Diceros bicornis minor: one gene and its partner. The protein of the gene in region 1 interacts with the protein of each later gene in a biochemical or structural test. Links are inferred from orthologs where the notes say so. Each region holds a gene or a part of one and is shown in the gene's direction. Other genes may lie near its edges.

What was found.
Region 2: the proteins of MAP1LC3A (region 1) and ATG7 form a complex in vitro, tested with the Homo sapiens proteins (2 studies listed by BioGRID, with this or other methods). The link is inferred for Diceros bicornis minor from reciprocal best matches to the Homo sapiens genes MAP1LC3A and ATG7.

The regions. Positions count from the first base shown.
Region 1 is NC_080758.1:25,021,729-25,027,841, reverse strand, and holds MAP1LC3A (microtubule-associated proteins 1A/1B light chain 3A), read left to right. Parts: upstream 1-3,980; 5' UTR 3,981-4,162; coding exon 4,163-4,202; intron 4,203-4,481; coding exon 4,482-4,537; intron 4,538-4,617; coding exon 4,618-4,724; intron 4,725-4,980; coding exon 4,981-5,143; 3' UTR 5,144-5,150; exon of another isoform or gene 5,151-5,411; 3' UTR 5,412-5,579; downstream 5,580-6,113. Other genes in the region: PIGU (phosphatidylinositol glycan anchor biosynthesis class U protein), read right to left, coding at 6,098-6,113. UniProt on the Homo sapiens protein: Ubiquitin-like modifier involved in formation of autophagosomal vacuoles (autophagosomes). While LC3s are involved in elongation of the phagophore membrane, the GABARAP/GATE-16 subfamily is essential for a later stage in autophagosome maturation.
Region 2 is NC_080741.1:83,968,371-83,975,390, forward strand, and holds the start of ATG7 (ubiquitin-like modifier-activating enzyme ATG7), read left to right. Parts: upstream 1-4,017; 5' UTR 4,018-4,039; intron 4,040-4,083; exon of another isoform or gene 4,084-6,129; intron 6,130-7,020. UniProt on the Homo sapiens protein: E1-like activating enzyme involved in the 2 ubiquitin-like systems required for cytoplasm to vacuole transport (Cvt) and autophagy.

The DNA.
Region 1 (6,113 bases):
CAGCCCTGCTGACTGATCAGGTAAGAGAAAGAGTGAGCACAGACCTTGGGATTTGGGGGATGGGCCCCTCCCCCACTGTAACCTTAGCCCAGGACTTAGTCTGACAAAAGAGAGGTGTAACCACTTCCCCAAGGCCATGGCTGACCTAGTTCTTTTTTGTGTGTGTGTGAGGAACATCAGCCCTGAGCTAACATCCTTGTTAATCTTCCTCTTTTTGCTGAGGAAGACCAGCTCTGAGCTAATATCTATTGCCAATCCTCCTCCTTTCTTTTTTTTTTTCCCCAAAGCCCCAGTAGATAGTTGTATGTCATAGTTGCACATCCTTCTAGTTGCTGTATGTGAGACGTGGCCTCAGCATGGCTGGAGAAGCAGTGCGTCGGTGTGCGCCTGGGATCCGAACCCAGGCCACCAGCAGCAGACGGCGTGCACTTAACCGCCAAGCCACAGGGCCGGCCCTGACTTAGTTCTTACAGCTGCTCTTAATGGCTCTGATCACATTCAATCTCCTGCAACTTCGTGTTTGTGAGATTTGTCCATTTTGACACACACACAGCTCTAGATCAAGAGTCAGCAAACTTAAGGCCCTCACGCCAAATCTGTTTGTTTTAGCAAATAAAGTTTTATTGGGACATAGCCATGCCCATCCACATTGTCTAAGGCTGCTTCCGCACTACAACAGAACTGAGTACTTGCCAGAGACTATATGGCCTACAAAGTAGAAAATATTTAGTATCTGGCCTTTCAAAGGGAAAGTTTGCTGACCCCTCCTCTCTCTCTTTCACTATAACAGTGTGTTGTTCTGTTACAGGAATACACAAGATATTTAATAGGACATTTAGGTGGGTCCCAGTTTTTTGCTATTTTGAAAATGCTCCAGTGAACATACTTAACTGTGTTTCCTTGGGCTCATGTGCACACCTGAAAGCGGAACTCCTGGTTTGTAGGACATGGGCATCTTCAGTTTGGGTAGATTTTGCAAAATTGCTTTCCAATGTGGCTGAAATGATTTACACTCCCATTCGCAGTGGAAAGAGTTCCCCTTTTCCCATATTACTCTAAAACTTGGTATCACGTGTTGTCAGATGTTATTAGTTAGCGATCTTTTATTGTTTGTAGATTCCTTTGGGTTTTCCAGCTGTGAAGGGTAGTTTTGCTCCTTTTTTTTCCCTTGTCTTGGTGCTCTGGCTGGAACCTCCAAACAATGTTGCATTTTGTTCAATGATAAAATTCAAAATTTTGTTCCTGGCTTTAAAGGGAATCATGCTTAACATTTTACCATATAGTATGGCGTTTAATCACTAAGTATAACGTTTGCTGCAGGTTTGGGTTTATTTTCGGAGAACTCACCTAGAAAACCATCTGGACTAGTTGGTTTTTTGAGGCACATGGCTACTCAGTTTGTCTTTTTCTTTTTGAATTAGTCTTGGCAAATTGTCTTTTTCTAGAAAATTGTCCATTTCATCTCAGTATTAAGTTAACTGGCATAAAGTTTATAACATTCTTATTTTTGTCATTTCTATATCTGTAGTTATGTCCCTTTTGCACATTAATGTTTATTTTATTGGTCTTTTCAAAGATCCAACTTTGTTTGTGGTCCATACTAGTGTTTTTGTTTTCTATGACATCAATTTCTGCCATTCATTATTCTCTTCCTTTCACTTTCTGTGGGTTTACAGTTATTCCTTTTTAAAATTCTTTTGAAACTCAAATTTTCCATGTTTCTTCTTACCTAGTATAACTAATAAGGCTATAAATCTTCTAAATGCTGCTTTAGTTGCCCCCTCCCTGAATTTTTATGTGTATTCTCATTTTTGGTTTGATCTAAGTAGTTTTCATTTCCATATGATTTCATCTTTGAGTAAAAAGTTTTTTAGAAGTATGTTTAAATGTCCAAACATTTGGAATTTACTTGGCTCTTGTCTGTGGTCAGAGAATATGGTCTGTATGAAACTCACTATTCGATACCTGTTGAGACTGGACTTGGGGTCTAGTAGGTCATTTTGTAAATGTTTCTTGTGTACTTGAAAGTAAGGGTATTGGGTTCAGGGCTCTATCAGGGCCCAGTGATCAGGATTATTCATAGGATTAAAATTGTCTATATCCTTTTTTGGCTGTTTGGTCTATCAGTTACTGAAAGAGGTCTTAAATATCCACTATGATGAATGATTTGGCCATTGCTCCTTGTATCCTTGTCACTTTTACTTTATACATTTTCAGCCTTTTTTTTAACCTCTAACATAGAAGTTACAGCTTCCTTTATCCCTAATAGTGTCTTTTACCTTAAAGCCTATTTTGTCTGATTTTGCTATAGATATATCTTTTGGTTAGTTTTTCTTTAGAATACCTTTTTCCATCTTTTTACTTTTGGTGCCTTTTGGTTTTATTTATTTTTTCTTGTGAGGAGATCAGCCCTGTGCTAACATCTGCCAGTCCTCTTTTTTTTTTTGCTGAGGAAGACTGGCCCTGGGCTAACATCTGCACCCATCTTCCTCCACTTTATATGGGACGCCGCCACAGCATGGCCTGCCAAGCAGTGCCTGGGATCCAAACCGACGAACTCCAGGCCGCCGCAGCAGAGCGCGCACACTTAACTGCTTGCGCCACGGGACCAGCCCCTGCCCTTTGGCTTTAAATGTCCTCTTGTAAGCAGCAGGGAGCTGCATTTTATTTTTCTTGGTCAATCTGATCATCTGTTTTAATAGGTGAACGTGAAGGGCATTTTGTCCCTCTGGTTTTGTACCATTTATATACTTGTTACTTTGCCTCCTTTTTCTCCTTTCCTGCCTTCTATTCTAATACCCTTTACTAACCTTTTCTTTTTTACACTGGCAGTTCTACTTTCTATTTCTAATATTTTAGTGATCTCTCTTAAGCATTTGAAATACATACTTGACTTTAGAAAGCCGGACAATTATCAATATCTTTATCCTCCTCTCAAATAAATCAAGCTGCTTAGCACACTGGAAGGCTGATTACCCTCTCCAGTCTTACATGTTACTGGTTCCCTGCTCCTGGTTTTGTACTCCACAAATCTTCATCACTAGCCATGTTTCAATGAAGTGCTTGTTTAGATCTCCTTACCCACTGATCAGTTTAGTTGCTCACCATTTTTGCATCTAATTTCTTCTCTTTGGAGTTCTGTAACTTCACTACAAAGTGCCTAGATGCTGATTTTATTTTTATTTATCCTGCTCTGGATTTTATGTGAAGATCCTGGTCTTTAATCAATTTGGAAGCTCTTCTTCAGGAACAGCCTCTCCCACAGTCTGTCTTTTCTCTCCTTCTGGAACTCTGACTGGACCTGTGAGTTCTTTTCACTTTACCATTCTTGTCACTCCCTCTTTTATACGTTTCATCACCTTGTTACTCTGGTTAATTGCTTCTGATCTATCCTCCAGCTCAGTGATTTTCTCTTCTGCTGGGTCTAATCTGCTTTCTTACCTCATCCTTTGAGACTTTAATTTCAATAGCTCTAGTTTTCAATTCTGGAAATTTCTTTTTAAAACCTGTGTTCCTTTTTAGTGCCTTGCTCTTTCATGTTTTAACCCCTCCCACCCGCACCTTTTTCCTTTTCTAACCATAAGCTCCACGAAGGCGAGGAGGTCTTTTGGTTTACCGCTGTCATCCCCAGCGCCTCCTACCGTCCCTAGAACAGACTCCGAGTGTGCGTTGTCAGGTGAATTTACTGACAGCGGCAACAGAAGGACGCTGAGCCGCAACCCGGCCCGCACTCACCCCACCGCCAGAGCTGCGAGTGAGTTCCCACAACAGCTCGCCGGCTTTGCAGCCTCCGCTCAGCCCCGACCTGGGGACGGAGAATACGCGCAGGCCATGACGTCACGAGATTGTGACGCCCGCAAGGCCCCGCCCCTTCGCGGCGCGGGGTCGGGAATCCAGGCTCTCTGCGCCGTGACATCACGGTCCGGGCGGGCGGGTTTTGCGTCGGCCCAATGGGAGCGGCGCGCCGGCCTCCCCTTTAAGGAATGTTGTGACCTGACGTCACCCGGGCGAGTTACCTCCCCGAGCCGCCACCGCCGGGCTCAGCGCGAGCCCGGAGCCCTTGAGTGCGAGGCGCGGAGCTCGCGGAGCCCCCGAACCGCAGCCACATCCCCGCGCCGCGCACCCCGGAGCCTCGGCCTGCGCGCCCCGCCGGGCCCGCGCGATGCCCTCGGACCGGCCTTTCAAGCAACGGCGGAGCTTCGGTGAGGCCCGGCGGGCGATCTGCGAGCGAGGGGTGGGGGCGCTGGGGGAGGGGGGGGTGCGACCGACCCGACTGCCGTAGGTGACGTCAGCCCCGTGACGTCAGGCTCCGGCCGCCCCCTGGGCTGGGACGCAGGCTCGGGCCTGGGCCGGGGCCTCCGCCTCCCAACCCCGTCCTGTGCTGGGGCTGGGGGGCCGACGGCCCGGGGGGCGGGGGCTGTGGGGAGGCGGGGGCTGTGGAGAGGCGGGGCGGGGCCTCACCGCCCAACCGCTGTCTGCAGCCGACCGCTGTAAGGAGGTGCAGCAGATCCGCGACCAGCACCCCAGCAAGATCCCGGTGAGTCCCGCCGCCCCCTCCCATCCCCAGGCCCCGCGCCCCGCCTCAGGCTCACGCGTCCCGCCCCACCCTGCTCCCAGGTGATCATCGAGCGCTACAAGGGTGAGAAGCAGCTGCCTGTCCTGGACAAGACCAAGTTCCTGGTCCCGGACCATGTCAACATGAGCGAGTTGGTCAAGATCATCCGGTGCGCGGGCAGCAGCTGTCAGAGGGGGACTTGGGTCCTGCTGGGGTCAGGCGGGGGGCTGGGTCCTTCTGAGAAGGTTGGGAAAGGTCAAGGTCAAGGCTGGGGTCACTGTCAGTGTCAGAGATAAGAACCTTTAGAAGGGGCTGGGATGGGTGTGAAGCAGAGACTCGGAATCATTTTGGGGAGGGGGGGTCAGGGCTACACCCGCCCAGCAGCCAGGGTGCTCACAGTCGGCATGCCCTCCTGCCCACCTCAGGCGCCGCCTGCAGCTGAACCCCACGCAGGCCTTCTTCCTGCTGGTGAACCAGCACAGCATGGTGAGCGTGTCCACACCCATCGCCGACATCTATGAGCAGGAGAAGGATGATGACGGCTTCCTCTACATGGTCTACGCCTCCCAGGAAACCTTCGGCTTCTGAACTCGCAGTAGGGGGGGTTGGCCTGGGAGTAGGGGGCCCTGTCAGGCTCTGCCCAGGTAGCTCCTGGCTCCTGAAGTGAGCTGCCTCTGCCCCTGGTGGGCTGGGCAGGGATGCGCCTCCTAGCCAGGAGCACCAACCATGCCTACTCTGCCCCTGGGTGGATCCTGGGCCAGTCATGTTAGGGTTGCCCCTCTGGGTGCTGGCTGGGATGGGGGAGGGTGGGGAGCAACCCCCGGCACCCCTACTGTGTGATTTGTTTTTTTTTTAGGCCCCTGCCTGTCTGCCCATCTGTCCCTCCCCTGCCTGAGGCGCTGCCCCCTGCCTGGACCCGCCCACCCTTGAAGGACTGGCCCCTGGCTCACCCAGTCTTGACATGGTGTATGGATCTGTGGTCATTGTCCCTCTGCAGAATAAAGATTGCTCAGGCCTGCCTGGCCCTTTGCCTCCAGCTGCTTGGGGAAGGGGGAGGGCTGCTGATGGGGCTGTTCCACACCATTCTCAGCTCGCCAGTGCAGAGACCTGTGTTCTGCGGACTTAGGGCTCATCCTGGAAACCCACACCAGTGTGTAGTGTACCATAGCTGTATTAGGAGCCAAGCCCAGCCCTTCCACGGTACAGTGTGGTCCCAGAGTAGACTTTTTCATAACAAAAAACATTTATTAAGTAGCCACAACTTAACAAACCCTGCTCACCTTCTTCTTCCCTTTTCCTGCCTGTGAGGGGCTCCTTGGTGTGCAGAGTCACAAAGTGGGGGTCCAAGTGGAGGTGCTCCTGGCTACTCTCCACAGGCCTTGATGCCACCCTTGGCTCCCCTCTGGTGCCGGAGATTCGTGACCCTGGACTCGAACCTCATCTGCCCGAGGACTCGCCTGATGGCAACTCTGGCTAGAGGGCTTGGCCCAGCTTCTGGCCTTTTCACCCCCTGAAATCCGTGCAGGCCTGGCCCAGCCAGGCCTACTTGAGCACAAGC
Region 2 (7,020 bases), on another chromosome or scaffold:
AGGCTTCGTGCTTTACCACCATTATCTAATTTAACCTCTACAACAACCTCATGAGGAAGATTGCTGTGTTGTTACAAACAGGCAAATGGAAGCACAGAGAGGTTAAGGACCGGCTCCAAAATCTGATTCTGGAATACATTTCTTTTCCACAGTATCTACCTGCTCTTCCTACTCCTATATGATTGATTGAATTAATTCTTGAATTTATAAAAGGCAATAGACCATGGTCCGGAAATAACTCAGCCTCAGCCCATTCAGGAAAGAATCAGTGGCCAGTGGCTTGCACAAAATCTAGCTGAAACCAGGCTCTCTGCCCGAAATATTAAAATAAATACCTTCTAGGAGAAGGCTGTCATAGAAACCTTGATTGTAGATAAGAACTTGCAGACTCAGAAGCTCCTTCGAGTTTCTTTTTATGGGCTTAAAGTTAATTAGCTTAAAGCCAATTCCTCGAATGACCAATTTGCCAAATTTATCAAATGTTGGCATCTTTTTAACTATTTACAGGGTTTACAATGACACATATTGGATGAGGCTTTTAAGAACAGTTTTCTACAATTGTTGTGAAGTTATAGCAACTGATTTTCGTTTTTCTTCATAGCCACATATTGAAGAAGGTCAATTTGTCTTTGTCCCCAGCTTGCTGCTACTGCAGGGAGAGACTGAGTTGTAGACAGGGGAGAAATAGAGGTGAAGAGACTGAGGATGAGAGAAGGAAGGATAAGGGGTAGAAAGAAGAGGAAACTAGGGGAGGTGGGGGGAGACAGAGGGTCAGAGATGATGGACTAGGAGGAAGAGATGGGGTCACCAAAGGACAGAAGAGGGAGAGGGCAAAATGGATGTGCACAAGGACAGAGATGGGGAAATACTAAGGGGCAGATGGACACTAAGAGCCAGAGAGACGGAGACATTTAGTGAGAGAAAAAGGGAGACACTGAGAGGGAGACATAGGGAGAAACTGAGGAATGAGAAAGAAGATAGAAAAGTAGAAGTGGAGAGTCAGAGACAAAAAGATAATAGACCGAGTGGCATAATATTAATACACTTAAGAAAAATCTACATTCAAGAACATATTTTTCATTAATGTAGTCATAAGTTAAATATATTCAAAGGAAGAATAAACCATCCTTAGCTTTTGATAAATAGAAAATTCTTTCAAATGCTTCTCTGAAGACGACGTGAAAACCAGTCAACTACTGCATCACATAAATCTTTAGAAGCTCATGAAGCCATTCCATCCAATAGAAATTGTTGTAAACCTTAGAAGTTGGTGACATTTGCAAAGTGTTCATTCAGAAAATCTACAAGTCTGCAGGTTGGCCATTTGATGAAGTGATCATTTGGCTACTTGGCTTGCAGAAAATTGTTGATCTCTCTTTTGAAGAAGAGCCCTCCAGGAGGTAGATTTAATAGTCTTAACACAGGGTGAAAAAGATGCTGGGGCTCTCCTGGCTGCAACACACTCTAAGTGCTGTAAAGAAACAACGCTGTTAAGATCTCATTTGCCAACGTGTCATTCCACGATTTCTTGGGCTTTCAAAGCGTAGGTGGCATGGCATATGGTTCCCATTGTAGGGAGTCTGTGCTCTCAACTGAGCTGCAAGGCAAGTGATAAAAGTGGGTTGACCTGAATCATTGTGGTCTTGAATAAGTGTCAAGGGCCTCATTGTCCTGCTGCATCTGAGAACATTCTCTGCCTTTTTATGGCTCCTGGTCTTGCATCTTTCTTGATGCTTCATCATCTTGGTGCCCCAAGGGTCTGTATCCCCCATCCTGGGCAGCAGGGGCAGGTCTTCTGCTCCAAGCCTCCCTAATTCCTGCTAACAAGGAGGCCACATTTGTGACCTGAGTCACCATCTATTTTGGCTGCCCAGACCTCATCTCTTAATTTAACAGATACTTTTTGAACACTTCTTGGGCCAATTCTTGAGCCAGGCACTAGGAGACCATGGAGAACAAGATGACATGGTTTCAACCCTATGGAGCTACTTCAGGGTTGGAAGTGATGGAAACCAGCTTTGTGAATGGCTGCTGGGGTGTTTTGTGAAATCCAATAACGTTTTAGATGACCTCACCTCAGGAAGAGCTTGAGCCAAGTCAGCCACAGGAACCTCAACGGTCAGAATTTGAGGAAGTTCCCTATAGAATATTGCCATTGACCAATATGAATTATTCCTGTTCCTATTTTCTATGAGCATCAGTTCTCAAGTCCAAAGCTCAGGGTAAAGAATCATCCTGTGTCCATTTCTGCTGCAGTCAACTCTGAAGAGAGGTGGGAGGCCAGGTGGCACATGTAGGAGAACCAGCAGTTCCCAGAGAAGGGGGAATCCTTGTGAGCTCGGCAGAGTGAGCTCGGCAGAAACTCCACAAGGTATTAAATTAAGGATCTCGAAGTCCAGCAGGGGAAACAAGGTTAAAAAGAACTAACTTCAACCTAGCCTCATATAACCTTAATAGAGTGAAGCCTGGAGGTAGGTGGGTGTCAGGCATGCCTTCACATAGGAGGTGACCCCTCTACTGGGTTTTTTAAAAATCAAACTTATTACATTAAATATATACAGTAAAATGCACTCATTTTAAATATAGAGTTTGATGAGTTTTGACAAATGTGTACAAATGTCATACCCATCTCAATCACGATATAGAACGTTTCCATCACGCCAGAAAGTTCCTCATGTCCCTTTGCAGACAATGCTCCCTTTATGCCTCAGGCAACCACTGATCTGACTTCTATCACTATGTTAGTTTTGCTGATTCTAGAACTTTACATAAGTGGAATCATATAATATGTACTCTTTTTTCTATCAACATTTCAACTGGATTTTGAAGATGGGGAAAGGGTTACACAAGCAGAGGAAGGGTGAGGGTAGCAGAGATGGAGCCGGCATACCACCCCTCCTGAGAACAGGCTGGCCTCAAAGTAAAACATCCTATGATTTACTACTGTCCAATCAAGCCACGCTTTCTTCTCACTTTCCCACCGGAGTTCTTTCTTGCCTTCACTCTTCCCTACGGAAGAAAAACTCTTTTTGCCTAACCCTGGAGACACTTGCAGATCTTTTGGTCAGAGTCTCCCTATTGCAAGATTCCCTCCCCCACCCATTGCAATAGTCCCCGCCCTCTCCTTCCCCACTGCTTATAACAATCCTTTCGAATAAAGTATCTCCTCAGTAAGTCAAACAGGCTTCTGTTAGACTCCTGGCCCAAAAGCTCTTTAACCTTCAGCAAGCGCCTTAACCTTTCCTAGTCTCCGCTCTTTCATATGTAAAATGGGAATAATATAACATCTACCTTGCAGGCCCTTTGTGGCGATTACAGATGTGAAAACCTGAAAACATTGTAGATAATAAATAGTAGTCATTACTCTTGTTATTGTAAGTCTATAGAGCTACGTCAGAGGCGCTTTGTGAATGGCCTTATATGTCAGATTAAGTTTACACTCACTATTGTATCAACACTTCTCCAATGCCTGGTACAGAGTATATGCTCAATAAATAATTTAGAATGAATAACTTTATCTCATTGACAGCAGGAAGCTATGAGAATAATGTCTGGTTTACAAAGAGCAAGTCGGTCAGTGTCGACTTTCATCGACCTTTACCTATTAAAATTCTCATCTCCTGTGTCTCCATACCTGCCTTCCTCGTGGTCCCCGTGATTCGTTTGATACTGCCTCTCCTGGAAAATGGAAATAATGATAATTCCTGTCATCCTCTAAAATCAAAAGAAAGAACGTGGAGCACTTTTTGAAAAGTCTCACGGGCACATATACACAATCCCACATCTGATAAACGGGAGAAAGTCTCTGTGCCTCGGCTCGCTCCAGGGGGTCCTCGCCCACCTCCTGATGTCCCGCCTTCCCCACGCCTCAAGTTCCGCCCCCTCAGCCTGGTGCTAGGGGCTCCTTTACCAGGCTGGCCCGAGGCTCTGTGTGCGCACGCGCACCGTCCTCTCGCCCCGGCAGGCGGGGGCGGGGCCGCGTTGCGTCATCGGGGCGCGCGCTGCGGATGACTGTGTGGTTGCCGGAAGTTGAGCGGCGGTAAGTGAGCCGCAGCGGTGAGGGAGGCGCGGGCTGCTTCGGTGTGGCTTTTGGAGGCCTGGCGGGAAAAGGCGAGCTCGGCGATGAGGGCGAGGGTCGCGGCGGGTCTCAGGATCCTCCTCTGCCCGTGCCTGGGCTGTCTGTCTCCAGGGAGTCGCTGACTGCGGCTCTCGCCCTCGTCCAGTCACGTTCCCTCAGACTGGTTCAGCCGGGGTGCTCGGACAGGACGCTGCTGTCCTGTCTCTGGCGGGGAGTGCCCCGAATCTCCGTTGTTGGAGCCCTGGAGACAGACGCCTGGGTTCTGGTCCTGGCTTTGCCTGCCACGGTCTGCTGTGTGGCTGTGGCGCATCCCTCCCCTTGCTGAGCCTCTCTTCCCTCATCTGTGATGTGGGAGTGATAACACGTCATTGGTGAGGCGAGGAGGTTCAGTTAAGGCAGCTCGAAGGGCTTTTCTGATCCAAGGTGCTCGATTTCTTGGTTTGGTCCGGATGCTACAGACTTGAATGCTTGATCAGTCAGGTTAGGTAAATGTGGGTGTAAGAAAATTTTATGTCAGTCAAACTTATTTTTACTGAATTGAGTTTTATGAGCGCAATACTAACATATTGAAGAAATGAACCCAGAACTTCAGTGTGTGTGTGTGCGTGCGGGCACGTGCAATCCCTTGATTTTTAAACACTAATGACTAATGATTTTTTAAAAAGCATTGGCAAGTGATAGAAAACATTTTTTTAAATTGCGCCTGTAACCAGGCGTATCTGTGGCTGCCAGTTTGGGGCCTCTGGATCCCAGGCTCCCTTTCCCACTGAATACTTGGATTTCTTTTGTGGCACCCCCGCTCGCTGGTTAAATTTCTTCAGTGACAGAAAGCTCACTACTTTTGGCCTTACTCCTGTTTGGTCTGCCCCCAGCTCTGACTCATAACAAGTCGTATGCAGAGCTGAAAGCGGTTCCCTAGTGATCTCAGCTGGTTGTCCCTCTTTCAGGCTCTTGGGCTCTCCCTTCACGGAATTGCCCCGCACATCTTTGAAAGCTGCTAGTTTGTCTTCCTCTTCCCACCTTTTCTTTTCCAGGCTAAGCATATTTAATTTATTTAGCCACAGTAAACTCCACATAACTGAGAATTTTGACTTGTTTTATTTGTAGTTGTATCCCTGGCGTATAGAACAGTGCCTGACATATTATATATGCTCAGTAAATATTTGCTGAATGAGTGAATAAAGCAAATATTTGAGTGCCTGTTATGTGCCGGGCATTATTGTAAGCACCAGTGATGTAGTGGTAAAATAAGGCAAAAAAACAGCCCTGTTTCATGGACCCTACTTTTGATGGTAGTGGTGGCGACTGTTGTGATTGTCAATAAATACGATACTTTTAATGGTTGGCAGGTGTTTCAGATCCTGATGGATGCTACGAAAAAAAGAAATGGTAACAGCGTGGAGAGTAACTGAGGGGAAGCAGAGGGAGCTCTTTTTAAAGCTAGCTGATCAGGGATGACTTCTCTGAGGAGGTGACGTTTGATCTAACACCGGAATGAAGAAAAAGCCATACTTGTGAAGGCTCATCTTGCCTAATTGTTCCCCCATCCCCCACCTCTGTGCTCTAGTCTTGTTAAACTGCCTACAGGCTGTGTCTCACCTACAGTCCTTTGTTTCTGCTGCCTAGAACATCTCCCTTCCCCCTCTTTTCTTGGCCAGCTCCTCCCTGCCCCTCATGTGACATGGTTTAGAAACCCTTTAAAGAGCTGAGAACTGGGCTTGCATTCAACCACAAGGTCCCTTTTTTCTTCCCAGCCAGCTTCTCGTAATAGAGAATAAGCATAAATATTTATTGAGCTTTTGCTCTGTGCCTGGCACTGCTCTGCAAGTGGAAACATGAAAGTGAGTAAGATACACATCCATGTCCTCAAGGAGTTTACTTTTTTTTAAGTCAAGGAGGTAGACAACAGCACTATGGTATGAAGCTGTTGTTGAAGTTTGCTGGAGAAGGACTTAGCATGCTCAGGCTAAGTCAGGCTGAGGCATCAGAGAAGGCTTCTGTGAGGAGATGTTGCTTTATCCAAGTCCTAAAGGATGAGCAGGATTAATCAGGTGAAGAGGGATGGGAGGTGGGATGATTTTGCAGACATTGGGAGGGGTGCAAGCAAATGGCTGTGGGTGAGAATGCGTGACCTGCAGGTAGTTGCCCCGAGTTAGAGTGGAGTGTAGGATAAGGGTGGCTGGAAAGGTAAGCAGGAGCCAGATCACGAAGGGCCTTGTGGGCAGTTGCATGTTAAGAACACAGACTTTGGAATCTAAGATACCTGTGTATCAACACTGGTTTTGCTGCTGAACTAGTTTTGTGACCTTGGGCAAGTCGCTTCCTTTCTAAGCTTCTATTTACTCATCTGTAAAAGGGAAATATAGCCTACCTCCCAAGGTTGCTGTGAGAATTGAATGAGATGATATCTCTTACCCACTTGGCACTGGTAGATGGTAAACTCTAAACTGTAGCAGTTAGTATTGCCATGCTAAGAAATTTGGAGTTTATTTTGAAAGCACAGGGCTGGAGAGTGGGGCACTGAAGAATTTTGAACAGGGGTGTGACATCCTCTCATCTGTTTTAAATTACCCAGGCAGCAATGTGGTGATTACACTGAATAGGGCAGGACCAGCAGGGAGACCAGTCAGGGCGCTGTTGCAGTGGTCCAGGTCACATGGGAGAGAGGCCTGAACCAAGGCAGTGGCTGTGGGGATGGGGAGGGGTGGGTGGAGTTGAGAGATAAAGGAAGAAGGATTTACTGGACTGGTAACTGATTGGATGGCAAGGAGAGGAGGGAGCCAGGAATCAGGATATTGAGGCGGGGGGAGGGGATGAATCCTCTGTGGAAATAAGTAATAACCAAGTTCTTCGCTTAGTGGTCCCTGGTTGGTTATGCCTGACCACCTGTGAGATTTTATTTGGAAGTCCAATTTACCCAAGTTCACTAATGGCTTCCTCCT